Linked DNA regions of Canis lupus familiaris. Each later gene encodes a partner of the first gene's protein in a complex. Links are inferred from orthologs where the notes say so. Each region holds a gene or a part of one and is shown on either strand. Other genes may lie near its edges. The genes, in order: CINP and SPATA5L1.

What was found.
Region 2: CINP (region 1) and SPATA5L1 share a complex: the UniProt entries of both Homo sapiens proteins name them as parts of the 55LCC heterohexameric ATPase complex. The link is inferred for Canis lupus familiaris from reciprocal best matches to the Homo sapiens genes CINP and AFG2B.

Annotation. Positions count from the first base shown.
Region 1 is NC_049229.1:70,732,883-70,747,904, reverse strand, and holds the start of CINP (cyclin-dependent kinase 2-interacting protein), read left to right. Parts: upstream 1-7,414; 5' UTR 7,415-7,550; coding exon 7,551-7,557; intron 7,558-15,022. UniProt on the Homo sapiens protein: Component of the DNA replication complex, which interacts with two kinases, CDK2 and CDC7, thereby providing a functional and physical link between CDK2 and CDC7 during firing of the origins of replication.
Region 2 is NC_049251.1:12,044,634-12,059,486, reverse strand, and holds the start of SPATA5L1 (spermatogenesis-associated protein 5-like protein 1), read right to left. Parts: upstream 7,203-14,853; coding exon 6,108-7,202; intron 4,467-6,107; coding exon 4,281-4,466; intron 1-4,280. UniProt on the Homo sapiens protein: ATP-dependent chaperone part of the 55LCC heterohexameric ATPase complex which is chromatin-associated and promotes replisome proteostasis to maintain replication fork progression and genome stability.

The DNA.
Region 1 (15,022 bases):
CTCCCATACCTGGCGTCTAGAGCCTGTGCTCATACACAGCAGTCAGATTGAACTCTGTGACTTCTGTGCTCCAAAAAAACACCAACAAGACATCAAAAGACAACTCTTGGAATTGGAAAAATATTTGTTAATCATATATCTGATAAACCATTTGTATCCAGAATATATAGAGAACTCTTAAATCTCAATAATAAAAAAATTCTTAAATGGGCAAAGGATCTGAATAGACATTTCTCCAAAAACATAAAAATAGCCAATAACCACAGTAAAGATGCTCACCATCATTAATCATCAGGGAAATGCAGAACAAGACCACAATAAGCTATCACTTTAAATATTAAGATGGCTATAACAAAAAGAGAGAGAGAGATCAACAAGAAGGTAAAGAAACTGAAATCCTCATACACTGCTGGTAGAAAATAAAATGATGATGCAGCTCCCATTAAAAAAGTCTAGCAGTTAAACATGGAATTACCACATGACCCAGCAACTCTACTCCTAGGTGTATATCCAAGAGAAATGAAAACATATGTCTACACAAAAATATTATGAAGGGAATACTACTATTACCTTCATAATAGTAAAAATCAAAAACACCAATTGTCCATGAAAACAAAATAGTATATCCATACAATGGAATATTATTCAGCAATAAAAAGGAATGAAGTCTGATACATGCTATAACATGATGAATCTTGAAAGCATGATACTAAGTGAAAGAAGACAGACATATAAAACCACATATTGATTTTATTTATATGAAATGCCCAGAATAAGCAAACCTATACAGACAGAAAGTAAATCAGTGACTACCTAGGGCTAGAAGCTGGGAGTGGGGGGTGGGGTTACTGCTAAATAGTATGGGGTTTCTTTTGAGTGATGACAAAATTCTAAAATCGTAGTGATGCTTACACATCTCTGTGATAATACTAACCATATATATGGTTTTTAGTATACCCATATCTAATATGTATATGAGATGTAAATGATATCTCAAACTATTATAAATAATAAGAAAAGGAAGAGTAAACAGTTGTCCAACCCCATTCATCCCCAAACTTCCATAAACTAGGAATAGAAGGGAATTTCTTCAAGCTGATAAGGAATATTTACAAAAACCATACTTAATGGTGAGAAACTCAAAGCTTCCCCACAAAGATCAGGTACAAGGGAAGGACCTCCCCACGTCACCACTCCTTTGCAACATCATACTGGAAGTTCTAGTTAATGCAGTAAGACAGGAAAAAGAAAAAGTATACAGATTAGGAAGGAAGAAATAAAACTGTCTTTGCAGATGACATGATCATCTATGTAGAAAGTCTGAAAAAATCAACAAAAAACTCCTGACACTAATAAGCAATTATAGCAAGGTTACAATACAAACTTAACATACAAAAGCCAACTACTTTCCCAAAACCAGCTATGAACAAGTGGAATTTGAAATTAAAAACATAATTCCATTTACATTAGCATTCCCCAGATTGAAATACTTACATATAAATCTAACAAAATATGTATAAGGTCAATATGAGGAAAATTACAAAACTCTCATGAACAAAATCAGAGAACTATACATAGAAAGATATCCCATGTTCATAGACAGGCAGATTCAATATTGTCCAGGTGTCAATTCTTCCCAATATGATCTACAGATTCGATGCAATCCCAGTCAAAATCCCAAGTAAATTATTTTGTGGATATCAACAGAACTATTTTAAAGTTTATATCAAGAGGCAAAGAACCAGAAAAGCCAACATATTGAAGGAGAAGAACAAAGTTACTGAAACCAACTGCCAACATAAAAGCTGCAGTAATCAAAACAGTGTGGTATAGGGAAAAACAAATAAATCAACAGAACAAAATAGCCCAGAAATAGACTTGCACAAATATAGTTAACTGATCCTTAACAAAGGAGAAAAGGCAATACAATGGAGCAAAGACAGTCTTTCCAACAAATAGTGCCCAAAAAACTGGACATCCACATGCAAAAAAATTGAATCTAGACACAGACCTTATACCCTTCATAAAAATTAATGCAAAATGGATTACAGATTTAAATGTAAAACACAAAACTATAAAACTCCTACAAGAAAACATAGGAGAGGGGCGCCTGGGTGGCTCAGTCAGTTAAGTGTCTACCCCAAGCTCAGGTCGTGATCCTGTAGTCCTGGGATTGAGCCCTATGTCAGGCAATAAACTAGACTTCATTAAAACAAAAAAGCTCTTGGGGATCCCTGGGTGGCTCAGTGGTTTAGTGCCTGCCATCGGCCCAGGACATGATCCTGGAGACCCAGGATCAAGTCCCGCATCAGGCTCCCTGCATGGAGCCTGCTTCTCGCTCTCCCTGTGTCTCTGCCTCTCTCTCTCTCTTTGTGTCTCTCACGAATAAATAAATAAAATCTTAAAAAAAAAAAAAAAACTAAACTAAAAAGCTCCACAAAAGACAGTCTCAAGGGAACGAGAAGACAATACACAAACTGGGAGAAAATATTTGCAAAAGACACACCAGGGGATCCCTGGGTGGCGGGGATCCCTGGGTGGCGCAGCGGTTTGGCGCCTGCCTTTGGCCCAGGGCGCGATCCTGGAGACCCGGGATCGAATCCCGCGTCGGGCTCCCGGTGCATGGAGCCTGCTTCTCTCTCTGCCTGTGTCTCTGCCTCTCTCTCTCTCTCTCTCTCTCTGTGTATGACTATCATAAATAAAAAATTAAAAAAAAAAAAAAAGACACACCAGACAAAGGACCATTACCCAAAATATACAAAAAACTCTTAAAACTCAACAAGAAACAATCAGAAGATATACAGATGGCAAATAAGCATATGAAAAGGTGTTCTATATCATATGTCATCAGAGAAATGCAAATTAAAATGAGATACACGCCTATTAAAATAGCCAAAATTCCGAACACAGACAACACCGAATGCCTATAAGGATGTGGTGCAATGAGGACTCTCATTCATTGCTGGTAGGAATGTGAAGTGGCACAGCCCCTTTGAAGACAATTTGGTGTTTTGTTTTGTTTTTTTTTACAAAATTAAACATAATCTGGGGCACTTAGCTGGCACAATCTGTAGAGCATGCAATTCTCAATCTTGGGGTTCTAAGTTCGAGTCCCATATTGGGCATAGTATCTACAAAAAAAAAAAAAAGAAAAGAAAAGAAAACCCTAAACTAAACATAATCTTATTGTATCACCCAGCAATTATATTCCTTGGTTTTTATCCAAAGGAGTTAAAAACTTATGTTCATACGCAAACCTTCACCCAGATATTTATAGCAGCTTTATTCATAAATGTCAAAATCTGTAAGCAACCAAGATGTCCTTTAGTAGGTGAATGTATAAATAAACTGCGGTACATCAGATGATGAAATTCTATTCAGCATTAAAAAGACACTGGCTATTAAGCCATGAAAAGAAAGGAGCCTTAAATGCATATTACTAAGTGGAAGAAGCCAATCTGAAAAGGCTACATCCTGTATTATTCCAACTATGTAACATTCTGCATGAGGCAAAACTAGGGAGACAGTAAGGAGATCAATGGCCGTCAGGGGCTGTGGGGGGAGGAGAAGGGATGAATAAGCTGAATAAATGAAAGCACAGATTTTTAAGGCAGTGAAAATACTGATGCTATAATGACAGACGCCTGTCATACATTTGTCCAAGCCCACAGAACATACACCACCGAAAGTAAGCCCTAAAAGTAAATGGTGGAGTCCAGCTGATCATGATGTGTCAGTGTAGAGTCATCAATTGTAACAAAAGTCCTCACACTGATACTGGGGGAGATATGCATGGGGGGGGGGGGGCAGTGGTATATGAGAAATCTTCACACCTTGTCTTCAACTTTGCTGTGGACCTAAAACCGCTCTGAAAAAATAGTCTTTTTTTTTTTTTTTTTTAAGAATTATTTGAAAGAGAAATGGGTGGGTCTCATTGCTACCCATCCTATTCAAAATTCTTCTGGGGTTCCCCAGTGCTCGGAGAAAAACCAAATGCTTTCCTGGCTGCCCCTCAAGTCCCTGTCCCTCCCCACCTGGCCAAGCTCTTTTTAAAAATTTTTTTTTTTTTTTTTTAATTCATGATAGTCATAGAGAGAGGAGACAGAGGCAGAGACACAGGCAGAGGGAGAAGCGGGCTCCATGCCAGGAGCCCGACGTGGGACTCGATCCCAGGACTCCGGAATCGTGCCCTGGGCCAAAGGCAGGCGCTAAACCGCTGAGCCACCCAGGGATCCCCACCTGGCCAAGCTCTTGCTGCACTGACCCACTCTTTCCCTCCTCAGGCCTCTATGCCCTCAACTCCAGTGAACTTTCATCTCACCCACAAACCTGGCTTCACAAGGGCCGGCTTTGCTGAGCAGATGGCTTGCAGGTCTTTGGCCCCTCCTCCCTGTCATGTCATTTTGTGTATGTCCTTCATATTCTTATCACAATCTTTAGTCACTTCATCTGCTAAGCAGTTTAATGACCATCGCTCATGAAAATATACGCAACAGATGCAAACCCTAGTACTTAACAATATCTTTGGCACAGAGTAGATACTCAATAAAGATTTGTTGAATGAATAACAAAATGTTAACTTCAGGTCTTACTGCAAAAGAATATTCTCAATCCAATCTTTAAAATCAATAAGGCGGGCAGCCCAGGTGGCTCAGCGGTTTAGCGCCACCTTCAGCCCAGGGCCTGATCCTGGAGACCAGGAATCGAGTCCCATGTCGGGCTCTCTACATAGAGCCTGCTTCCCCCTCTGCCTGTGTCTCTGCCTCTCTCTCTCTCACTCTCTCTAATGAATAAATAAATAATATCTTTAAAAAAAATTGTCTGGGGGTGCCTGGATGGGGTAATCAGGCATCTGACTCTTGATTTTGGCTTGGCTCCTGATCTCGGAGTGGTGAGATCCAGCCCCATGCTGGGCTCTGCACTCAGCACAGGGTCTACTTGAGACTCTCTCCTCTGCCCCTCCCCCTGTATGCATACTCTCTCTCTCTCAAATAAATAAATCTTTAAAAAAAAAAAAAGATCTGTACTTAGCTTGATGCCAGGCCACTCTTCCTCCCACACACTCTACACTGCAGCTGCAATGAGCTTCTCCCCACAGTCCCTGAACATACCATGGCCTATGCCTTTGCAAAGCCCCCCCCCCCCAACACACCCTGTAAGAAGTACTTCTCCCCTAGGAAACCTTCAGACTCCCTCTGACACTTAGTTTGTCTTTCTCTGCTGTCAGAGAACACTGAGCACCTCATTATCACACAGCAGTCCATCCTTTGTTTTCCAACTTCTCTAATGGACTCTTTGTGGACTTCACCCGGGTCCTTCTAGTCTACATTCCTTGTGGTGCTTCCAAAGACCAACACAGTATGGTCAATACTGTACTCGGCAACTATTTGTTAAACTCTCAAAACACCTTGCCAGGACTCCCCAGGTATGACAGCCCAAATATACATCCACTGTTATGCAAAAATTCACTGGTCTCTTAAGTCCAGGCCCAAATAACACATGCGTTTAAACTGAACACACACTTTGAACAACTGCTCACTTCTACCTCGGGTCCACAGAGCTGTTAACTACTCCCTCCTGATTCTACCAAGCTCCTTGTGCTTCACTGTATCTAGAAATCTCTCCATGCTTGTTTTCATTATGTGTACAACTGATACCTGATTTGTCCTTCATTTTTCCAAGTTCAATCAACTGATGCTGTTTCCTTCTTTTTTTCCCCCAAGGGCCAGGAACCATTTTGTCCAAACTATCCAGAGGCTAATATAAAATCCAAACTTGAAGTGTTACCTTCCTAGGAGAAAACTGGAAAACAAATCAGTAGAAGCCAGTCTTCTACTGAGAAAGAGAATGTGGGGCAGCGCGGGTGGCCCAGCGGTTTAGCGCCACCTGCAGCCCAGGGCGTGATCCTGGAGACCGGGGATCGAGTCCCACGTCGGGCTCTTTGTATGGTGCCTGCTTCTCCCTCTGCCTGTGTCTCTGCCTCTCTCTCTGTCTCAATAAATAAATAAAAATCTTAAAAAAAAAAAAAAAGAGAAAGACAATGTGGCTCCAAAATAACTTAAACCTCTGAAAACCACTTGCTAGTCACTCCTCCAGGAGGGCTATCCGTATCCCATCCTCTCCACCATAGTCTCAAGGCCAGTCCTGAAAACTCAGGGAGAGCATCCCCCCTATTTGTACAGGCTGGTTCTCTGGTTAGAAAGCTCCCTGAGGGCAGTGGGCAGCGACTGGGACCACAGCATCCCTAGAGCCTAGCACATGGCTGACATTCAAGGGACCCCGAATAATCCCTGGTGAATGAACGAACATGGGATGTAAGCTGACATTTCAAACAAAACAAAACAAAAAGCCCTACAAGGTCAGAAACCCTATCAAGGTGCACTTCACTGGGTGTGAGAAAACACAAAAAGCCCTGCAGCTTAGGAGACACTGGCGACTACACAGGATACAGTGGCTTTACTCCCAGATTCTGCTCATGCTGTGTTTGCAAGAAGTGCGCGGGGGTGGGTGGGGGTGGGGTCACCCCCAAGTGCAACGCATCACTCCAGCAGATAAAGCGTGCACCCAGGCTGGGACCCCACAGTCCCGCCAGCAGATGGAACAGAAGGAACAAACGTAACAGACTTAAGATTCCTGAGTGTCAGCGAGAGAGTGAGGAAGGATCCAGAGCAGGGAAGGGAAGTGGAAGTAGAGCATGTGGGCAACCACAGCAAGGGGCGACCCTTTAGTGAAGTGTATCAGGTGCCAGGCTCGGTGCTCAGCACTTCGCACGCACGGACCCACCTGATCCTCCCACCCAGGCGTAGAAGGCGTTATCATCCCCGTTTAACGGATGATAAAGCTGCAGCGCAGCGACGTGGCATCACCTGCGCCGAGCGCACGGCTGGGGGGTCTGAAGCCGGGGCACCCCCTCCTTGAAGCCTCCCAGGCCTTAAGGCAGGACTGGGGGGGGGGGGGCATTCACCCTCCTGAACACCTGGGGGTGCGTGCCCAGGTCTACGCCAGCAGCGCCAGGGCGCGGAGGGTCGGGGGACCGGGCGCAACGTCAGGCAGGCAGGCGCCGCGGGCGGGCCGGCAGGGGGACCGAGGACGCGGGACGGGGGATGAGGGATGACGGCCCAGGGATGAGGGATGAGGGATGAGGGATGAGGGCCCGGGGATGCGGCGGAGGACCGCCCAGCCTGGCGCCTCAGGTGCTGGCGCGCGGGCGAGACGGGCAGGGCGACCCCAGGCGCCGAGGCCAGGGAAGGGCGGCCCCGGGGAGGCCGAGGAAGGGGCGCGGAGGAAGGGGACTCACCTCCCGCGGCGGCCCCTCCGGACTCGTCGGCCGGGCCCGGCCGGAGGAGGCGGGGACGGACTCCGGGCCGCGGGGGCTGCCGGGAGCCCGTTCCCTAGGCAACCGCGCCAGGCCCAGCTGAGCGACAGGCGGGGGCTAGAGCGGCAGAGCCACAAGTGGCGGCCGGCCAGCGGCGCGGAGCGGAAGCACGTCAGCGCGCTTCCGGTAGGCGTGGGCGGGGCTTCGCGCTCCTTCCCGGGATACCTGCGGACGCATGGCAGGTGGGTGCGCGCGCGCGGGGGAGCGTCCTGCGGCTCGGCGGGCGGTCCCGGAGCCCACCGGCTTGACCGGGCCTCTGTGGTCTTCCCGCGTAGAACTACTGGATGTGTGCGAGGGAGTGTCAGCACATCCTGACCCCCCAAATTGTAATTGTCTTTGTAAACTAGCGCTAGCGGGGGTGCTCGGGTGCCAGGGCTTGCATGCCCAGCTCCTCCCAAAACCTTTCCCTGAGTTCCCCTCGGGATTACCCGCCGCACAGAGCCCTTTGCTTCTAATAAGAGCTGTCAATCGGCGAAGTGCTCGCTGCGTGCCGTGTGGTGCCCTTAGTGCTCTGTGGGTCAGCTCGTTTGAGCCTCACCTTGATCCCACGTAGTAACGTGCGCAGGTTGGGAGGATCAGGGAGGGAGCCGCTATGCTGAACCTCTCTGCTCTGTGCTGGGCCTCTCGTTCCTGGTCTCTTTCCCTCCTGGCCTGGGGTCCCTTGGAGTTAGATCTGTGGTTTGGGTTGCTAAATATGGAGCAGACGGAGAATGAATCAGATGTGGTCTTCGCCCTCAAGGAGCGCCTACTGCAGGAGAGAAACCCTTAGGAGATGATAGTGCAGGTGGTAAAAGCTATTTCTCCATTTAACACATTTCATTTGTCACCTACTGTGTGTCTAGGTTAGGAGAGGGAAACAAGACATAGTCACTATTCGGGTGGCCTCACAGTCCACCCAGCAAGTCTACCACACTAGTGAGTGTCGGTGATAGTTCAAGAAGAGGTGCGACATCTAGTGCAATGAGTCCTAACCCAACCTGGGAGATCCAGGAAGATTTCTTTGTGGAAGGAGTGGCTTTCTGAAAACCTAAATCAGATCATATCACTTTCCTACTCAAAGCTTATTGGTTCCTTTCCACTGACTTGGAATAAACCTAAACTCTTTATCTTAGTATGTAAGGTTCCATTTGCTTGACCGCTTCCTCACCCAGATCCCTCCCCACCACCCTTCCATTATAAGTGATGTGGGGTCATGGAGCACAACAGTCAAGAAAGAATTCTTGGGATGTTGCGTGGTGCAACTTAGTAAGTTTATTTAAGTAGCCTGGGGACAGAACCTGTGGGCAGAAAGGGCTGCATTTTTGCGGTATGAAGCTGGTGGTTATATGCTTAGTGGTCAAGGGGGAGGAGACATGCAGAGGGTATTATACATGTTTCCTTGAATTTCTACCCATAAAACTACTTTTGCAACATTTCTCTGGTGCTTATCATTCAGTTCGATATTAACTATCAGTGAGATTTACAGACAGTTATGAGACCCTTTAAGAATGTAGCAACCGGGATCCCTGAGTGGCGCAGGGGTTTGGCGCCTGCCTTTGGCCCAGGGCGCGATCCTGGAGACCCAGGATCGAATCCCACATCGGGCTCCCGGTGCATGGAGCCTGCTTCTCCCTCTGCCTGTGTCTCTGCCTCTCTCTCTCTCTCTCTCTTTGTGTGACTATCATAAATAAATTAATTAATTAATTACAAAAAAAAAAAAGAATGTAGCAACCAGGGGCACCTGGTTGGCTCAGTGGTTGAGCTAAGTCTTTGGCTTAGGTCGAGATCCCAGAGTCCTGGAATCAAGTCCCGCATCAGGCTTCCTACAGGAAGCCTGCTTCTCCCTCTGCCTATGTCTCTGCCTCTCTTTCTATGTCTCTCATGAATAAATAAATAAAATCTTTAAAAAAAGAAAAACCAAAAACTTAAAAAAAAAAAGAATGTAGCAACCAGCACGTTTTATTATTATTATTTTTTTTAACCAGTACATATTTGATCTTTGTTCAGAACTATGTAGACTAAAGGTCAGCCTTCTGGGCTAAAGGTGAACATTTTTCTGCTTCTGCCCTCATCGTAGATACACTGGCCTTGCTCAGTTTTTCAGACTCACCAAGCTCATTCTCACATTAGGACCCATACTGTTGACCTTTCAACAAGCCTAAATAACATCTCTTCAGGGGTTCACTCTAACACAAGACCCCATTTTCTTTTCTATCCGGGCACTTACCAAGATACAAATTGGTCATGGTCATTTGGTTGTCTATTATCCACCTCCTCTTTGGAAAGTAAGTTCCATGAAAATGGTCCTGGTATGATTCATTCAGTCATTTCATCCCCCGTGCCTGGCATATTGTTGGTTAGTGGTATAAGTAAAGAATGAAGGGAAAACCAATATGATCCTTAAATAAGCAGAGCCTTAAAGAATACTAGGAGTTAGCCAAGTGAGTGGAGACACACATGGCCAGGGGAAATATTCTAGGTCAAAGTCAGAACTTGTACAGAGCTAGCCCTAAGGCATGGAGAGCAAGCTGGGGGAAGCTGGAGAAGTGGTAGAAAGGACTTGCATAACAGGCTGTGATATTGTGGTTTATAATAAGAAAATATTTGGTCTTTTTCTTGTTCTTGGCACAGAGGTAAAACCCTTGGTGTTTCTGCAGTGTGAGAATGAGCAGGATGTCTTGTTATGTTGATAAGGTGACTTTTGGGAAGGTGACCTTTGGATGGGGGCTGGTTCCCCCCTACAGAAACCAATCATGTGATTATTAAAGGGTTAGAATTTTCAGCCCCACCTGACTCCCCTGTGCCTCCAGGGGAGAGGGGCTGGAGGTTCAATCAATGGGCACTGCCCAGTGACTTAATCAACCATGCCTATGCAATGAAGCCTCCATAAAAGCTGACAAGGATGGGATTTGGGGAGCTCTAGGTTGATGAACATGTGGAGATTTGAGGAGAATGGTGTACTACTCACAGAGCATGGAGACTCTATGCCCCTTTCCGCATACCTTGTCCCCTGTATCTCTTCCATCTGGCTCGTTCTGATGGAAAGAAAAATAAATGTATACTTACATTTCATGTTTGCTCTCCAACTAAGACCATAAAAATCTTAGTTTGTTAAGACTTATTAAACTAAAGTTTGTTCATTTTAAACAGAGCAAAGAGCAATTTTATTTAAGTAAAAAAAAAAAAAAAAATTATTCAACCACAGCAGAGGAATTGCAATTTGGGATAGGCAAGCTACAGTGAACTATAGGCAAGTTTGAAGAGACAAATGGAAGGCCAGCATTCATTAGGTTTCAGGGGGAAACTGGGAAGGGTTACTGTAAACAAGTGTATTGGAGAAGAACAAGAGTTTGAGGTCTAGTGGTTTCTGCACAGTGGTTTCTCCCTTGGCTGTAGGCGACAGTTAATGCATTATTACTGGGGCAGGGAGGGAGGGCTCTTCCTTTTCTTAGAAGCAGGAAATAAAATTCCTATGTGAAATATGTCCTCCGTTGTTGAGATAATTCTTATCTTTTTATTCCTCCTTGTTGTGCAGGGCCGCAGCAAGTGGTAACATGTGTAAGCACCCCCCTCTCCAGGGCTTTCTGACTCTATTTTACAGGAGATTTCCTTTATTTTCACATTTCTGCCTTTAGATCAAGGTCTTTTCTCAAAAGCATCACTTTATCAAGAGTCAGGTTTTCCGTATATAGTGGCTTTTGTCCCTGGGTGCCAGGAAGGACCTTTCTGGTTGGAAGGAAAGTGCATAATGACTAGAAACTACTGAGGCCACCTGTGAGTAACAAGAAAGAGTACGAGGGAGGACTCAGCATTTCCCATCTAAAATCTCTTTCTTACGAGGTTAAGTGTTGGAGAGCATCTGGAAGCCCTCAGCTAGCATCACACTGTTTGGTACATCTGTTCCTGCAAAGTTTTGACAGGCAATGGGTACAAAGTTTAGAAGTAATCATACAAAGCAGAATTAAAAGTAATATGACAAATCCAGGATGATGGTTCTAAACCAGGAGCTCAAACCTGAAGGTAACCAGCTAAATAGATCAAAAGACCAGAGGTCATTGGGTGAAATTTGTTGTAATCAGAGGTCTCCTTCCCTGATCTTGTGTAACTGGGTTTCTCTTTCTCCAGACATATTTATCCAGGTGCAACAAACAGGTGGTATTTGCCATTGCATAAATGCCTCCTTGTTCAGCAAGTAGATTGTCCAAAGCTTCCTTTAGCCAACAAGTCATGTGATCATTGTCGAGCTGTTCTTGCTTTGGCTGTAGAATCGGCTACCTCTTCTAATGTTAGGGAGAGATTTCTGATCATGTGTTCATTTGCTCTTATTCCAACTACAGAGGAAAAGCCTCCCTACAGAGGCGAAACCAGGAGTCGTACAGCCCCCTGAAGTTCCCAGTTAAGAGAGCCTTGGAGGCCTAATGTGGCAGGTCAGCGGAGGCCTCTGGTTTGTTATTGTTTATTTGTTATAAACAATAAACATTGACTTCCAAGTTGCCAACTGTCTAAGCATTTGTATGCCTATGGAAAATGCTGTCCACTGTAAACAAAAATGAAACCAGGTGGTACCCAGGGGACTCCAGCTAAGGTCTTATTATTGATAGTTGGAATTTCCCGATTGACCTTTTCAATCCAGGGATGAAAGGAATTGGGATGACATTCTATGAGAGGCCATCCCTTCATTAAGAAATCTTTTCTAGGGGATCCCTGGGTGGCACAGCGGTTTAGCGCCTGCCTTTGGCCCAGGGCGCGATCCTGGAGACCCGGGATCGAGTCCCACATCGGGCTCCCGGTGCATGGAGCCTGCTTCTCCCTCTGCCTATGTCTCTGCCTCTCTCTCTCTCTCTCACTGTGTGCCTATCATAAATAAATAAAATTAAAAAAAAAAGAAATCTTTTCTAAAAATTTGCAAAGGGGCATAAACTTGTTTATATTTCCTTTAGGTGTAGGAGACCTCACTTAGATAAGGAAAAGAATGTGGGATTGTACAATTAACAAAGATGGAGGGATTTAACTGAGCTAGTGTGGTTACGACTGGGGAAAGGCTGAAGCAAATATGGGAATGCCTGGTATAATAGCCTAACTTGATAGGTAACATCTATAGGCTTGTGGGTGTAATCAACAGTGGCATTTGGCACTAGAAGGAAATTGGTTATAGGTAAGACCAGTCTCCAATATTGTGAACAGATCAGAGCTTCTGGTGACAGATCCAATAGTCAGGTTTCCTCCTTCTGCAGGCGATTGGGAAATGCGATTGGGGCATTGACTTTCCAAGAAAAAGAGGGTGAGGGGCGTCTGGGTGGCTCACTCAGTTGGGCGTCCAACTCTTGGTTTTGTCTCAGGTCATGATCTCTGGGGTTGTGAGGTAGAGCCACATGTTGGGCTCCATGCGGGGTATAGAGCCTGCTTGAGATCCTCTCTCTCCTTCTCCTCCCCACCCCCACCACTTGTATGCATGCTCTTTCTCTCAAAAAAAAAAAAAAAGAAAAGAAAAGAGAGAAAGAAGAAGAAAGAGGAGGGGATCCCTGGGAGCTCAGCAGTTTAGCACCTGCCTTTGGCCCAGGGCGCAATCCTGGAGTCCTGGGATCGAGTCCCGCGTCGGACTCCCGGCATGGAGCCTGCTTCTCCCTCCTCCTGTGTCTCTGCCTCTCTCTATATATATATCTATCAAAAATAAACAAATCTTTTTAAAAAAAAAGAAGAAGAAGAAGAAAGAGGGGGTGAAGTAAGAGTGAGAAGAGCAAAGGAAAGAATGTATATGTAGGTCTGGTCTGGTAATCCCAGGAAAGCTATCTGCTTCAGTGGCCTGCTTCAATTCCTGCAAATTTGTATTTTCGTGTCACCAGTTGGTGTGCAGGTCCAGTCAGGGTTTGGTGCTTTCTTTGGATGTGACAAATGAATCCAAAAGTCTATTCATTTTTCTAGTAGACAAGATCTCCAGGTTGTAGCTGTGATGTTTGAGGTCTTTGTCTCCCAGGAGCGTGCTGTAAAAGGATTGCTCTACTAAAGCATAGTTATTTTCAATAGAAGTAGTAAGGCTTTTACAGTATTGAAGTATGTTTCCTTTTATCACGTGTGGATCAAAAGAAGCAAGAGCCAAGTACATTGGGTGTCCTGTGATTATATCAAAGGGTAAGAGTTGATGAATTCCGAAAGGAGTAGACCTGAGATTTAAAATGACCATTGGCGGTACCTTTGGCCAAAGTAGTTTACAGATTTTTGCCAGCTACCTCTTAATGGTGCCAGTTCAATTGGTCCTGAGGATTGAGAGTGGTAAATATAGTGAGAGTGTTGTAAAACCAGCCACGTAGCACAGACTGGTCGCATCACCTGACCAGTGAAGAGTTCCCTAGTCACTGTGAAGTCCCAGGGTGGTCCTCCAGGTAGGAATGATCTTTTCTCTTAGAATTTTAGCTGCAGAGGCGGCAGTAGCCTGCCCACAAGGGAAAACCTCAGTTCAGTGGGAAAACATACAATCTATGGCTAAAACATATGTATCCATGAGATGGGGGAGCTGTAATAAAATCCACTCACCAAACCTCAAATGGTCCATAGGGCAATTAAAATTCCCGGGTACAGTGTGGACAGGTTTCCCAGGATTGCAGTTTGGGCAGTTGGGGACAAGCAAAGTAGGCACCTTTTATGGCCTTATTAATATTCCCCACCAGTAGTGATTTACAAAGGTCATTTTATGAGCAGAACAATGACGGTGTGCACAGTGGTCAGTAATAGGAATTTTAGAGTCTCTGGCGGGACTGGACTATTATTTGGCCCAGAGTTTTCTCTTTTTATCAAACTAACAATTACCAGATTTCCAATTTTGTTTTTCCTTTTCTGGGGCCATCTCTAGCCAGTTCTTCTAGATTGTCATTTGGGGAAACATCCCTTTGGACCACAACAGAGGTATGGTTGTTGGTTCCTTTGAGAAGAGCATTCTTGGTGGAAATATCACTGAGATGGTTCCCTTTAGCCTCCAGGGAGTCAAGTGTGGAATGCCCAGGAACCTTTATCAGAGCAGGGGGGCCTGGGTGTCTACAACTCTTAATTTTGGTTCACGTCATGATCTCAGCGTCATGAGATCAAGCCCCACGTCAGACTCTGTGCTGGGCATGGAGCCTGCTTAAAATTATCTCTCTCCCTCTTCCCCCCACCCCTTTATGCTCTCTCTCTCTCTAATAAAAATAATAATAGCCAGAGCAGCTGATAGGAGTATAGCACCTAATAAATTTTGGACATAAAATCCATTTGAAAATTTCTCCCTGCTAAAAGTGGGAAGCCGCATTGTTTCCATAATCACAAAATTGTGAGTCACTCTGAAGGCATATCTGCTGTCAGAGTAAATGTAGGCAGTTGTGCCCTTGGTGAGCATGCCGTGTGAGGGTGTACAGCTCAGCTTGTTGGAGAGAAGTAGCCTAAGGCAAAAGTATTGCTCAGTTACTTCAAAGGGAGTTGCAAGTACATATCCAGCACAACATTCGCCATTTCTACCTCTCACCTAAAAACCATCAGGGAACCATGAGAAGTCAGTGTCATGCAAAGGAGCCTCCTGTCAGTCATCATGGAGGGGAGTCACGATCTGCAGAGTTGGCATGAGCAGGGAGGTGACTGCAGCGAGGAGTTCTGGGAGGAGAGGTTAGGAAGAGGCTTTCATAGGAGGGGGACAACTGGCCA
Region 2 (14,853 bases), on another chromosome or scaffold:
TAAAAAAGATTTATTTATTGCCTGCTTAAGCAACAGATACTAAGATTTATTTATTTATTTATTTATTTATTTATTTATTCATTCATTCATTCATTCATTCATTCATTTATCTATTTGAGAGACAGTGTGCAGAAGGGCAGAGGGAGAGGCAAAGAGCATCTCAAGGAGACTCTGTACTGAGCATGCCCCTCTCTGGGCTCTATCTCATGACCCTGAGATCAGGACCTGAGCTGACACCAAGAGTTGGTGCACTACCCAGGCGCTCCTGAAAGACTAATTTTTAAAGAAAGTAAAGTTGAGCATTTTTCATGTTTACTGGCTATTTGTAATCCTTTGCTGTCTACTACCTGTTCATATTTTATTACCCATTTTCTCTTGGATTGTTGGTCTTTTCACGTTGATTTGTGAGAGTTCTTCCTGTATCAAGGTAATTGGTCTTTCTGTCATAGCCCAGAGAGGGGCACGTGCAGTGCAGTCTCCTTGAGATTCTCTCTCCCTCCCGCACACCCTGTGTCTCAAATAAATTCTTCCCAGTCTGTCTTGTCTTTATTTATGTATTGTTCTGCCATCCCCAAATGGTCAAATTAATAAATATTTTCCTTTTTGGCCATTAGGTTTTATGTTATGTTTGGAAATGCCGTGTTCAGGGTGCCTGAGTGGGTGTGGTTGGTGGAGCATGGGTTCTTGGTTTCAGCTCGGGTCATGAGATCTAGCCCCACCTTGGGTTCCAAGCTCAGTGTGAAGTCTGCTTAAGATTCTCTCTCCCTCTGTCCCCCATCCACCCTCCCCCCCATGGCATGTTCTCTCTCTCTCTCAAATAAATAACTTTTTAAAGAAAGAAAAAAGAAAGTTCAGCTTTAAGATTATATTTTAGAGAATTTTTCTTGCAATTTCCTTTATCATTTTAGTAAAGCAGATTTGTTAAAAACTGCTTGTATTTGTAATACCTGTATTATATTTGAGATTTGCCCTCATATCAAATTCTGAACATACAGTTGTCAAAAAATTTCCATTTTCAACAACAAACTATTTTATCCCATTTATAGAAGATTATGTAAGAGTATATATATGTATAGAGCTATTCTGAACAATGTTCCTAAAAATTATAATCTCTGGGGGGGTAGATTTCAGGCAATTTTTACTTTCTTTATAATGTATTCATCTGGTTTAATTTCTCACAAAGAACACCATTAAGTAATTTTTTTAAACAGCTTTTTCTTTTTTTTCTAACTGGCTAGGAGTATTAAATGTTGGGTACCTGAATACTAATTAATTTTTAAGCAACATCAACAAAGATCACTTATATGTACATTATTTCACCTAATTGTCATAACCCTTTCAGACAGACAAAATTCTTTCCCCTCTGTGTATATACGTGTATGTATTAAACTATATTCTAAATCCTTTAGTGGGAGTACTTCACAAAAAGCTGACTTTTTTTAGCCTTTTCACAAACTTTAACATATCCTCTGTCTGCCCTGATAGCAGCAGCAGCTCCTCAGCTGCCTGAGGGGTAAAGATGGAAAAGATGAAGCCAGTACCTTCCTAGATGCCTGTCCCTTCTTCCTTTTTGCCTTTCTTCCTTCCACTTCCCCTGGTTGTTTATGAACTCAGTCATCACCTGTGGTAACTATGCCTGGGCAGGCCGCTCCTGAAGTAGCAGCTGGCTGGTCCACCTAAGCCAGGGTGCTTAAGGTCAAACCTGGAACTTCAAAAGCAGAGGGAATCCTAAGTGTAAATCTCCCTTCAGCCCCTGGTACTCTCATCCTCCCTTCAGAAGGCATATATTCACACCTCCACGCATGAGAAGTATCATTAAATGTTCAAGCAGTTTTGTTTTTTGTTTTTTTTTTATATTTTTTTATTTATTTACTCATGAGAGACACAGAGAGAGAAAGAGAGGCAGAGACACAGGCAGAGGGAGAAGCTGGCTCCATGCTGGGAGCCTGATGTGGGACTTGATCCCGGGGCTCCAGGATCATGCCCTGGGCTGAAGGCAGGTGCTAAACTGCTGAGCCACCCAGGGATCCGACAGCAGTTTTGGTTCTAAATCCAGAAGAGAATTTACAAGTTCACATAACTCCTTCCCCACCTTCAGCGTACATGTAAAAATAAATGAAAATGAGGGATCCCTGGGTGGCGCAGCGGTTTGGCGCCTGCCTTTGGCCCAGGGCGCGATCCTGGAGATCCGGGATCGAATCCCACGTCGGGCTCCCGGTGCATGGAGCCTGCTTCTCCCTCTGCCTGTGTCTCTGCCTCTCTCTCTCACTGTGTGCCTATCATGAATAAATAAAAGTTAAAAATAAATAAATAAATAAATAAATAAATGAAAATGAGCAAGGGTGTAAATTACATAGGTAAAAAGTTTTCAAAATTTTGGATTAATTGTCCTCTTATAATTGAAATTAATTCAAAACTGGTTTTTAAAAATTATAAGATCAAAGGGCAATTTTAATGTTATAATAGTTACAACAGAGATTGTAAACTTCGTCCCAGAATCCTCTGGGGGCTAAAATTAATTTTTTTCTGAAGGTGTTTAGGGATTAAGGATTACTTATTATATACATGGTGAAGAGATTTTTCCAATCCATGGTGCTGAAAATTACTATATTTAAGCTAACATCCTAAATATTTTTAAGAAAGGTAGTCATGGGGACGCCTGGGTGGCTCAGCAGTTGAGCGTCTGCCTTCAGCTCAGGGCGTGATCCCGGAGTCCCAGATTCAGGTCCCATATCAGGTACCTCCCAGGGAGCCTGCTTCTCCCTCTTCCTATGTCTCTGCCTCTCTCTCTCTCTCTCATGAATACATAAAATCTTAAAAAAAATAGTCATGAATTAAAGATTTCAATACCAAAGATAAATTTAAATAAAAATTCCAGGAGTCCAATCTTCTCCTGGGTTAGAAAAGGTTACTTTCCCTACAAAATATTTATTTATTAATAAGGAAAAAAACGGATGCAATGAGAACAGTATTTCTGTGCTCCTCCTGCCAAAAATGCAAAAGCTGAATCAAATCATGAGGAAACACCAGTCAAACCCAAACTAAGGGATAGTCTACAGAATAAATGACATGTAGTCTTAAAAAGTTAGCCACACGCCTGGGTGGCTCAGTCACTTAAGTGTCCAACTCTCGGTTTTGGCTAAGGTCATGATCCTAAGGGTCAGAGGACTGAGACCCACTTGGGTTCTGTGCTCAGTGCAGAGTCTGTCTGTCCCTTTCCCTCTGCTCCTCCCCCTACTCATGTTGTCACTCTTTCTCTCAAATAAATGAATAAAATTTTTTTTAAAAAATTAAAAATTAGGGATGCCTGGGTGGCTCAGCGGTTGAGTGTCTGCTTTTGGCTCAGGGAGTCCCGGGATCAAATCCCACATCAGGCTCCCTGCACGGAGCCCGTTTCTCCCTCTGCCTATGTCTCTGCCTCTCTCTCTCTCTCTCTCTGTGTCATGAATAAATGAATAAAATCTTAAAAAAAAAAAAATTAAAAAGTTAGGCATAAAAGAAAGACTAAGGAATAGTTCTAGATTAAAATATACTAAGAAATCATAACTAAATGCAATACGTAATCTAGGATTACTATTATTCTTTTTTCCTTTTTAAATTTCTGCTATAAAGGAAATTAATGGGACAGATAATGAAATTTAGATAAGGTCTATAGATACTGGGTAAAAGTATCGTGTCAGGATTAATTTCCTCATCTTGATAATTGTATGGTCATTAAAGTCTTTGATTTTAGAAAATATACACTTAAGATTTGAAGGATAAAAGCCCATTATGACTACAGTATACTCTCAAATGTTTCACAAAATATATACATAGAAGAAGAGAGATATATCTATATGCTAATATATATAAAAACACAGATGAAGACAGAAAGATAAAGCAAAACTGGTAAAATGTTACATTTGGAAACTCGGGGTAAAGTATACTATTTCTGCAATTTTAAGCCTGAAACTGCTTCAAAATAAACAAAATTAAAAATTAAAAAAAATATATGTTTGATTCTTCTGGGGCCATCCTTTTCCCTGGCTGTTCTGGGCTTCAGCACTAGGGAGTTACTATGGGAATGGGGGAACATGCCCTGGTAGACCTAGAAGACTCAGCCCTCTGTCCCCCCATATGCCAGTCCCAGAGAGAGGAGATGTAAAAAAATATGTAAGAAATAGCTGTGGAAGGTATCAAAAGTAGCAAGAAAATGTACTTACCACTTGTTTAATCCCCAAATTAGTTTGTTATATTAATGAAGAGATCAACATACATGGTCATATATCAATACTTCCTACCTTCTCACTGTGAAGGAGAGCATGCAGGGCAGCCTCTCTACAAAGTGCAGTCAAGTCTGCACCGACATAGCCAACTGTCATTTCGGCAAGGAGACTCAAATCCACTTGACTGGAGATGGGCATCTTTGAGGTAATCACTTGGAGTATTGCCTTTCTTTGTTTAAGCGTGGGAGTCCCAATGACAACCTATATGCAAAGTAAAAAAAGAAAAATTAAAAGTTTCCAGTTTAAAATATTATGTAATATTTTTATTCTCTCAAATGTGAAAACTTAGTGAACAAATTTGGAATTGGAACGATGTACTCTTAAGCATACCATAAATTCTGAATATATTAAACTCCAGAGGAGTAACACTGGCCAGATAGTTATACAACGAAAATTACGTACAGAGCTTCCTCAACTTAAGATAGGGTTACAACCCAACAAATCCACGGTTAAGCTGGAATTACAGTAAGTGGATAAAGCATTTAACATACCTAACCTACTGAGTATCACAGCTCAGTTTACTTAAATGTATTCTGAGCATTTACATTAGCCTATGGTTGGGCAAAATCAACTAGCAGAAAGCCTATTTTATAATAAAGTTTTAAGTATCTCAAAAAATTTATTGAATACTGTACTAAAGTGTAAAACAGAATGTATGAGTATAAAATAGTTGTCAATGTGTTGGTTGTTTACCCTCATGATCTCCTGGCTGCCCAGCATCACAAGAGAGCATCTTACTGCATACGGCTAGCCTGGCAAAAGACCAGAATTAAAAATTCTAAATACGTTTTCTACCGAATGTGTATGGTTTTCACACCACTGTAAAGTTGAAAAACCATTAAGACGAACCATTGTCAACTGGGGGCCCTCCATATAATCATTAACAATATTTTGTTATTTTTTAGAACCTATCAAGTTCTGGGAGCCAGGGATGCAATAGTAAACCAGTCTAGGTCCCTGGCCTTATGGAGTTGATTCAGGAGACAAGTACTAGATGGTGCAAAAAAGAAATGTGCTCAAGTTCTGCAGAGATTAATCAGAAGTGTGCAACTATCATCCTTTTCTTTAGAAGCCTAACACAAAGTTCAAGCATCACTTAAATTAATCACTATTCAAGCTATTTAATCAAGAATCAAGGGCGTCTGGGTGGCTCAGGTGGTGAAACTGGGGTCCTTGGATCAAGTCCCTCATTCGGCTCCCTGTGGGGAACCTGCTTTACCCTCTGCCTATGTCTCTGGTTCTCTGTGTCTCATGAATAAATAAAATCTTAAAAAAAAAAAAAATCAACTTGGGACTAAAGCTCAGGAAATAGAGGACAGCTTTGAATACTCAAATCTTCCTGGCAACCCAGGGAGCAACTGTGGGTAATTTCTCACTTGTGGGACAGGATGCTGGCCTCCTGACAAGGAATGAACAAATCCAGAATTAATGCCTGTTTTGATTTAGTTCTTCCCTGCCTTTTCCCTTTTTATTTCAATACACTTCTTGAGGCCATCCTACTTTAATTCTCATTCCAAATCCCTAAGAATGTAATACACGCACAGCTGACCTAGTTCCCTTAAAAATTAACGGTACCGATGGTACTCATTTTCAGGATGTGCACCACAAAACTAATCCTAACGGCCACCTGGCTTCTCGGAACAATTTGATTCTGGGGAAAAACAGGTCCAGGCTCACAGATCCCGTAAGGGCAGAGGACGTGCTCTCTGCATTACAAACGGCCCCACTGTACCCTCACTGACTGCCAAGCCTAAGTGGCAAACGCCGGAGGCCACCACCCAAGGCCAGGAGAGGCCGAGGTTCCATCCAGGGCCTTAGGGCGCACAGCCCGGCCCTAATTACCTCTCGGTCAAATCTCCCCGGTCTGCGCAGCGCTGGGTCTAGAGCGTCCGGCCGGTTGGTGGATGCCACGACCACCACGTCCCGGTCCCCACGGATGCCATCCAGCAGCGTCAGCACCTGGGCCACCGCGCGGCTCTCGGGGGCTCGGTGCGCGCCGCCCCGCCGGGGGCACAGGGCGTCCACCTCGTCCAGGAAGAGAAGCGTGGGTCCGCGGCTGGCCAGCTCCCGCGCGCGCCCGAACACCCGCCTCACGTTCTCCTCGGTCTCCCCGGGCCGCGCGCCCTGCAGCGCGGGGGCGCTCACGGCCAGCAGCTCCGCGCCGGCTTCCCGGGCCACCGCCCGCACCAGCTGGGTCTTGCCCACTCCGGGGGGGCCCGCCAGGAGCACCCCTCGCGGCACCGCGAGCCCCAGGGCCGCCAAGGTGCGGGGGTAGCGGAGCGGGAGGCGGAGGAGCTCCCGGAGCGAGTCGGCCGCCTCTGAGAGGCCCCCCAGGGGCGCCTCGGGCTGCGGCTCCGCTCCCGACGGGGGCACCTCGCTGAGGCTGATGCGGGTGCGAGGCGTGACCAGGCCGGCCGGATCCGGGCTGGGCGCCCCGCGGACGATGTGCAGCGCGGCCACCGGGCCGGGGGCCCCCGGTGGAGCGGCCACCACGTGGCCCCGGGAGACCGGTCGGTTCCGCAGAAGCTCCTGCGCCGCCTCCAGCACGGCGGCCGCATCCCGGGCACCTGGTGCGTCCGCGCCCTCCCGCAACACCGGCCACACGGTGAGGAGCCGCAGCGACGGGCAGGGCACCAGGCGGAGGCTGCTTAGGCTGAGGCTCCCCCGAAACCCTGAGGCCCCCACAGCCGTCCCGGGGCTCGCACACTGCGGATCCAGTTGCACAAAGCCGTCGGCTCGGTCCCGCCGCAGCCAGGCGGTGCAGAGACAGGAGCCGCCGTCGGGCAGAGAGATCTTCACCGCCGAGCCCAGGTGCGCGCCCAAGGCGCGGAGGGCGGCCGGGCCCAGGCGGCAGCGCTGGGTGCCGCGGTCCCTAGCGTCTAAGGGTAGCGCCTTCAAGAGCGGCTCTTCGGGAGGGGGACCTGAGTCCGGAGCCATTGCACACACACACTCAAGCCGAGGAAAGTTGGGGGAAGGAGTTCCCCACGGACCGGAAGGGCCGGCACACCAGCTCCTCGGCCGGAAGCAGGTGACGCGCATGCGCCGGAGACAGCCCTCCGTCGCTAGCGGGGGAGCGGAGGCCGAAAGGGCCAATCGGGAAGTTGGGTGATGCTCCGACTGCCGGTGGGGCGGTGTCGGATTCTTCGACTAAACCCAGCGGCCCATTCCAGACCCGTATGGGAAAGGCCTTAGGTACGGGTATCCGGGAGGCCTCCTACGCTAGTTTCAGGAGGTCTTTAACCATGTACCTAGGTGATTTGGAGAGTCCCCCGCAGAGTCGTCTGTCCCTGGCGCTCAGACTCGAGCATCACCGCCAGCGCTTTGGAAGAATCCTCATCTGTCCCTACGGGCACAATATTTTGGAGCGCTCTCATGTTAAAATCTTTTTTTTTTTTTTAAGATTTTATTTATTCATAGAAACAGAGAGAGAGAGGCAGAGACACAGGCAGAGGGAGAAGCAGGCTCCATGCAGGGAGCCCGATGCGGGACTCGATCCCCGGTCCCCAGGATCACGCCCTGGGTTGAAGGCGGCGCTAAACCTCTGGGCCACCCGGGCTGCCCTCATGTTAATATCTAAGGTGACTTGGAGCAGTTGAGAAATACCGCCTTGGTACCTCCGTTGGATCTGGGTTCTTACGTGTTCAGGGAAGGTCCAGGCACGCCCCTCCTCTGGAAAAGCACAGCGTAGCATTTTAAATCCCTGGGAGAGAGAAAGAAGGGAACGCAGCCACCTGACCTAGCTGTGGCACACCAGCACATTCTGCTCCATGCTCTCCTCCTGTGGGGGCCAAGGGCAGGCCGGCCAGACTGGCCCGCAATGGCATACTGATTATTTTGAATTGAAGCTACCTGGGGAACGGCTGGTGCGAGGGCACTGACTCTCCCCTGTCCCCGAAAGCGAGAAAGAAACCTCCATGTGAAAGGTACCCTCTCTGTACTAAGAAGACATCCTCATCACCAGAGATAACGAACTTGAAAGGGGAGAAAGCCGTGGAAACAAACCTTGTGACTTTTTTTTTTTTTACTAACCTACTACCTCAGCCCAAATTCCACTTAGAATTCCTCACTAATTAAAGCTCCCAAACATCTTTTTTTTTTTTTTTATCTTGTCAATTCCTCACAAATGTATTGTCTCTTTGTATAAAAATTTTCTGCCTGGTTTATTTATTTATTTATTTGGTCTCGATTTCATTACTGGGCCTCTGAGCACATAATAATAAAACTTAGGCGTTTCCTCCTTTTAATCGGTCTTGTGTAAATTTAATTCTTACTCCAACTGGAAGAAGGACTTACTCCCTTCTTCCATCTCGAAGGGCAGGGAGAGAATTTTTCCTTCCCTACACTTCTTTAAATGTTCTTTGACAACAGCATGATGGTAACCTCTTCTGTTGGTGTGATAGGTGCTTATTGCCTATTTGCTGCACAGCAGTACTGAGGTCTGTATTAGAGGGGATGCCTGTCTACATTATTAAGACCACTGCCTGCTATTCTCTTTCCACCTTCGTTCTCCCTTCCCCACAGGGGATTACTCCTTTTTTCTTTTTAACTTAAAAAATTGTAAACTTATTTTAATTCCAGTATACTTAATATACAGTGTTATATTATTTTCAGGTATACAACATAGTAATTCAACAATTCCATATATTAGTGCTCATTGAGATGAGTGTACTCTTACTCCCCTTCACCTATTTCATCCATCCCACCCCACCCTCACCACCCCTTCTCTGCTAACTATCAGTTTGTGCTCTATATTTAAGAGTATTTGGGGTTGCCTTTTTTTTCTTCGTTAATTTGTTTCTTAAATTCCACATTTGAATGAAATCATATGGCATTTGTCTCTGACTGGTTTCTGTTGCTTAGCATTATACTCTCTAGCTCCATCCCTGTTGTTGCAAATGGCAGGATTTTATTCTTTTTTATGGCTGAATAATATTCTACTACATACATATACCACATCTACTTTATCCATTCATCTATTGATGGACACATGGGCTGCTTCCATAATTTGGCTATTATAAATACTATTTACAATAATGCATATATCCTTTTAAATTAGTGTTTTCATATTCTTTGGGTGAACACCGAGTAGTGTGATTACTGGATCATAAGGTGGTTTTATTTTTAGTTTTTTGAGGAACCTCCATACTGCTTTCGACAGTGACTACATCAGTTTGCATTCCCACCAGAAGTGCACAGGGGTTCCTTTTTCCCCACATCCTTGCCAACACTTGTTACTTCTTGTGTGTGTGTGTGTGTGTGTGTGTGTGCGTGTGTTTTATTTTAGACATTCTGACAGGTGTGAGGTGATATCTCATGGTGGTTTTGATTTGCATTTCCCTGATGAGTGATACTGAGCATCTTTTCATGGATTCTATCTGTATATCTTCTTTGTAGAAATGTCTGTTCATGTCTTCTGCCCATTTTTTAATTGGATTATTTGGTTTATTTATTTATTTATTTTTTGGTGTTGTTGTGTCAGTTCTCTGTATATTTTGGATATTAACTCTTTATTGGATATGTCACTTGCAAATATCTTCTCCCTTTCAGTAGGTTGTCTTTTAGGCTTCAGTTTTATTTTTGTTTGTTTTTAAATATTTGAGAGAGAGACAGCATGAGCAGGAGGAGGGGGAGAGGGAGAGGAAGAAGCAGACTCCCCACTGAGCAGGGAGCCCAACGTGGGACTCAATCCCAGGACCCTGGGATCATGACCTAAGCCAAAGGTAGACGTTTAATCAAATGAGCCACTCAGGTACCCGCTGTCTTTTAGTTTTTTTTTTTTTAATTGTTTCCTTTGCTGTGCAGAAGCACTTTTTTTTATGTAGTCCCAACAGTTTATTTTTGTTTTTATTTCCCATGCCTCAAGAGACATATCTAGAAAGATGTTATGGCTAATGTCCGAGAAATTACTACCTGTGCTCTCTTCAAGAACTTTTAAAGTTTCAGGTCTCACATTCAGGTCCTTAATCCATTTTGAATTTATTTTTGTGTATGGTTTTAAGAAAGTGGTCCAGTATTTCCAACACCATTTGTTGAAGAGATTATCTTTTTCCCATTGCATATTCTTGCCTCTATCGAATATTAATTGACCATATAATTGTGAATTTGTTTCTGGGCTTTCTAGTCTGTTCTGTTGACCTAAGTGTCTATTTTTGTGCCAGTACCACACTGTTTTGATGACTACAGCTTTGTAATATAACTTGAAATCTGGAATTGTGGGGGTGCCTGGGTGGCTCAGACGGTTAGGCATCTGTCTTTGGCTCAGGTCATGATCTCTGGTCCTGGGATCGAGCCCCATATTGGGCTTCTTGCTCAGCGAGGAGTCTGCTTCTCTCTCTTCCTCTGCCTCTCTGCCCCCTCCCTACTGCTCCTTCTCTCTCAAATAAATAAATAAAATCTTTAAAAAAAGAAAGAAATCTGGTTTGTGATACCTCTAGCTTTGTTTTTCTTTTTTAAGGCTGCCTTGGGTGTTCAGGGTCTTTTGTGGTTCTATACAGATTTTAGGATTGTTTGTTCTAGTTCTGTGAAAAAAAATGCTGTTGGTATTTTGATAGGAATTGCACTAATCTGTAGATTGCTTTGGGTAGTATAGACATTTTAACAATGTTTGTTCTAGAGGATTACTCTTCCTCTGTATCAGCTGGAATATATTTCCTATCCTTTTAAATTCTGTTCAGGAAAAAGAGCTGCATATCTTCAAAGTCAAGAAAATATGCCTTGTTTTTATCTTACATCTCTCTACCTCTATTTTTTGCACTTCACTGCAACCCAAGTTTATGTTTTACAAAATTCATATTGCACAGTGCTTAAGTCACTGGGGCCTGGTGGTTTCTCTCTGCTTATGCAAATAATCTATTGTGGACTCTATAGCAATGTCTTCTTAATGGAAAGTATTGTGAGACCTGGGATCTTAAGACCAATGCCAGTTCCCCCTACCCTACTCAAATCTCAGGGCAGACACTATGACTGACTTCTAGATTCCACATTTATTTATCTGGTTTCTGTTGTTATGTTTCCAGCTCCAGTGCTGGAACATCTTTTTTTTTTTTTTTTAAGATTTTCTTTATTTATTCATGAGAGTCACAGAGAGACAGGCAGAGACAGAGACAGAGGGAAAAGCAGGCTCCTTGCAGGGAGCCTGATGCGAGACTTGATCCCAAGACCCCGGGATCACGACCTAAGCCAAAGGCAGATGCTCAACCACTGAGCCACCCAGACATCCCCAGTGCTGGAACATCTTAAAAGGAATCAGGAAAAAGCATACTATGGGGAGGTTCTGAACTGAGTAAGTCACCCATTACATACCATTTTCTTCTTTCTCATTATCTTATTGCCTTCTGTTCTTTTTGGAGAACAAAGACTCCAAAATCAAACTTTTCAAGAAAAATTTTGTATTTTCTGAAATAAAAGCCAATATTTTTACTAACCCCTGAAGGGGTGAATAAAATACCCATCAAGTTATTCTATCACAGGGCCTGTACTTCACAGATGTTCTTTTATTCTGGTACCAAGAAGCTTTGAGGAGCAAAGAAAAGGGGAGGGCAGAGGAAAGAAGACTTAACTGTATTAACTATGCGGAGAGCTCTCATATAAAAGAGTTAGTAGATTTATGTATATCTACTAGTTAGTAGATAGTTCTACAGTGCAGAACTATCCAGGAAGTGAAAGGTTAATGGAATAAACATGAGTCTTCCTCCTCATCTTTGGAGTATGGTTACATGGAAGAGGTAGGAGACTTTTTATAAGATAGCTGACAGCCATAACCAAAGCCAACATAAATAAATTAAATCAAGATCTTTCAGCATTTGATGCCAGGAAACTACATGTTGTTTTGGGCTCTCTGACCTTATAAGGCCCATATACCCAGGAAATATTTACTTCACCCTATCTCTAAAAGGTCCAGTTCTCACCGTAGGCTGCAAGTAAAAGCAACCAGGAGTCTTGTTTCTGGGCCTTTGGCCCTTATCCACACTCTCTCAGAACGATAACTAGCTTTTCCAGTCAGCCATTGAAATTCACTGAGTCCCTTTAGGTGGAACCATTTGCAACACTATTATTTCAACTATCTTAATGTCCACATTTATCCTACCAAGGATAAATTACAATAGTCTTTTATGATCAATGATGTAGTTTTCTCCTTGTCGAAAACCATTCTAATAGTAGTTATGTGGTTCTTTTGCTTATTTGTTTTTAATATGACTCCAAATTTGGTGATTCTATGGAGTACCAATTAAAGTGCCAAAAGGTGGAACCACTAGAGGGAGTCCAAAACCAAATATGCCCAAAGGCTACGGGATTGTTGCTATTGAAGTGTTTCATTTGTGGCTTCTGTTAGATTTCCCAAGATTCACACTAGGTGTGTGAAACGGTCTGTTGTGTATGCAGTTACTTATTTTCACATAATTTCTACATGTCTCAGGCCATGTAGAACTCACTTTCCAAGTTATAATTCTTGTATTAAATATCAAAATGACACTCTCCCCAATTCAAATTTACTGGTGGATCAAAATCCAAGCAAAATGAATTTATCTTTTGATAGCCTAGAAATAATTCTAGCTCTGAGTTGTTTCAAATATGCTTGCTAAACAAAACCTTTTGTGACGCTTTCTTGAAGAGATGTATTTAACAAATAGTTCCTCTTCATTTTATTTACTACATTCAAGGTTATTACGATCTAATATTAAATTAACTCTAAACATTCTTCATTAGCTATAAGTCTAAATTTCAAAAGATACAACTGGAACCTGCTTATTTTTTAGAATAATGGTTGTACGTTATTTTTGTGCCTTCAGTATCAATAATATTACGTATTAAATAATATATTTCAGGATGTGAAACACGGTAATTGTAAAAAATTTAAAGAAAATGGTTAAGTTAGTAGTGTGAGTCATGAATACTAATCTTTCTTATGTTTCCATTTTCATGTGTGTTCAACCCTAATATTTTTGAACAGTAGGAATGATTATGAGTTGTAATAGATAAGTACAGAGAATCATTTAACCACATTTGAAAAGGCATGATTTGCAAATGCTTTCCTCTCAACCTGTTCATGCAGACATATTAGTGACTTATTTCCACAGATACCTAATATGCCAAACAGTTTCTTAAAGTATGTAATGAAAACCCTCTAAAATAGGGCCTCGTTGAAATAGTTTTTTAAAATTGGACATCTTTAGTCTTTCTCATATCTCAAGACTAGAATTATTCTTTACAAGATACAGAGTCATGAGGCAATTAGAGCCACCAGAAATCTTGGCTGGATTACAAATGACCTGCAGACTATGGTTCACAGAACACCATTTGTAAAGTCTGTTCTTGCAAATTTTCCAGAAACTACGTGTTTCATCATTTTTTAGAAGTCTTTTTTTTTTTTAATTTTTATTTATTTATGATAGTCACACAGAGAGAGAGAAACAGAGGCAGAGACATAGGCAGAGGGAGAAGCAGGCTCCATATACCGGGAGCCCGATGTGGGATTCGATCCTGGGTCTCCAGGATCGCGCCCTGGGCCAAAGGCAGGCGCTAAACCGCTGCGCCACCCAGGGATCCCATTTTTTAGAAGTCTTTAAGATAACTATCCTCTATGATGTTGGTTCAAACTGTTCAACTAATGAAAGTATTAATATTCATGATTTTTTTAAAAATTATTTATTGAACATCTACTTTGTACTACTTACTGTCCTGGAGGCTTAGTGTATGGCAGTTTAAAAAAAAAAAAGGTAATTCTTGCCCTCATAAAACGTATAATTTAGTGGGGAAGTCACATGAAAGGACTCAATAAGCAAATAAATCAGATAATCAAAGGTGATGAAAAAATACAACAGAAAAAGACTACTTTACACAGGGAAGCAGGAAGGGCCTCTCTGAGGAAGCAGCATTTAGGATGAAACTGGCAGAAGAATTGGGGATGGGAGGCAGGGTGTACTAGTTAGAGGAAGGGCTGTGCCAATGCCCTGGGGGGTGGGGGTGAGGTGGGGGTGGGATGAGGGGGGTGGAGCATGATTGCTATGTCGGAGATATTAAAAGGAGGCCAGCTTTTTGTGTTGTGTGTGTGTTTTGTTTTTACTATTTCTTTGGTACTTATGTTCCATTTTTTTTCTAAATAGATCGATATTTTACTACTCTTACACTTTTCCTCTAACTAGATACTTTATTACTACTCTGTGTATACAGTAAGTTATATAAGGATAGAAACTAATTTTAAAATCTCTATCTTTGGGGAGGAGGGCGGGGGGTGGGGGTGAATGGGCACTGAGGGGGCATTTGACGGGATGAGCACTAGGTGTTATTCTGTATGTTGGCAAATTGAACACCAATAAAAAATAAATTTATTATTTAAAAAAAAATCTCTATCTATGGGAATGTCTGGGTGGCTCAGCGGTTAAGCCTCTGCCTTGGGCTCGGGGTGTGATGGTGGAGCCCTGGGATCGAGTCCCACATCAGGCACTCTGCATGGAGCTTGCTTCTCCCTCTGCCTGTGTCTCTGCCTTTCTCTCTCTCTCTCTCTCAAGAATAAGTAAAATCTTTTAAAAAAATAAAATCTCTATCTATGGTACACTTTACAGGAATCTGGTAGTGTGTTGGGATATAT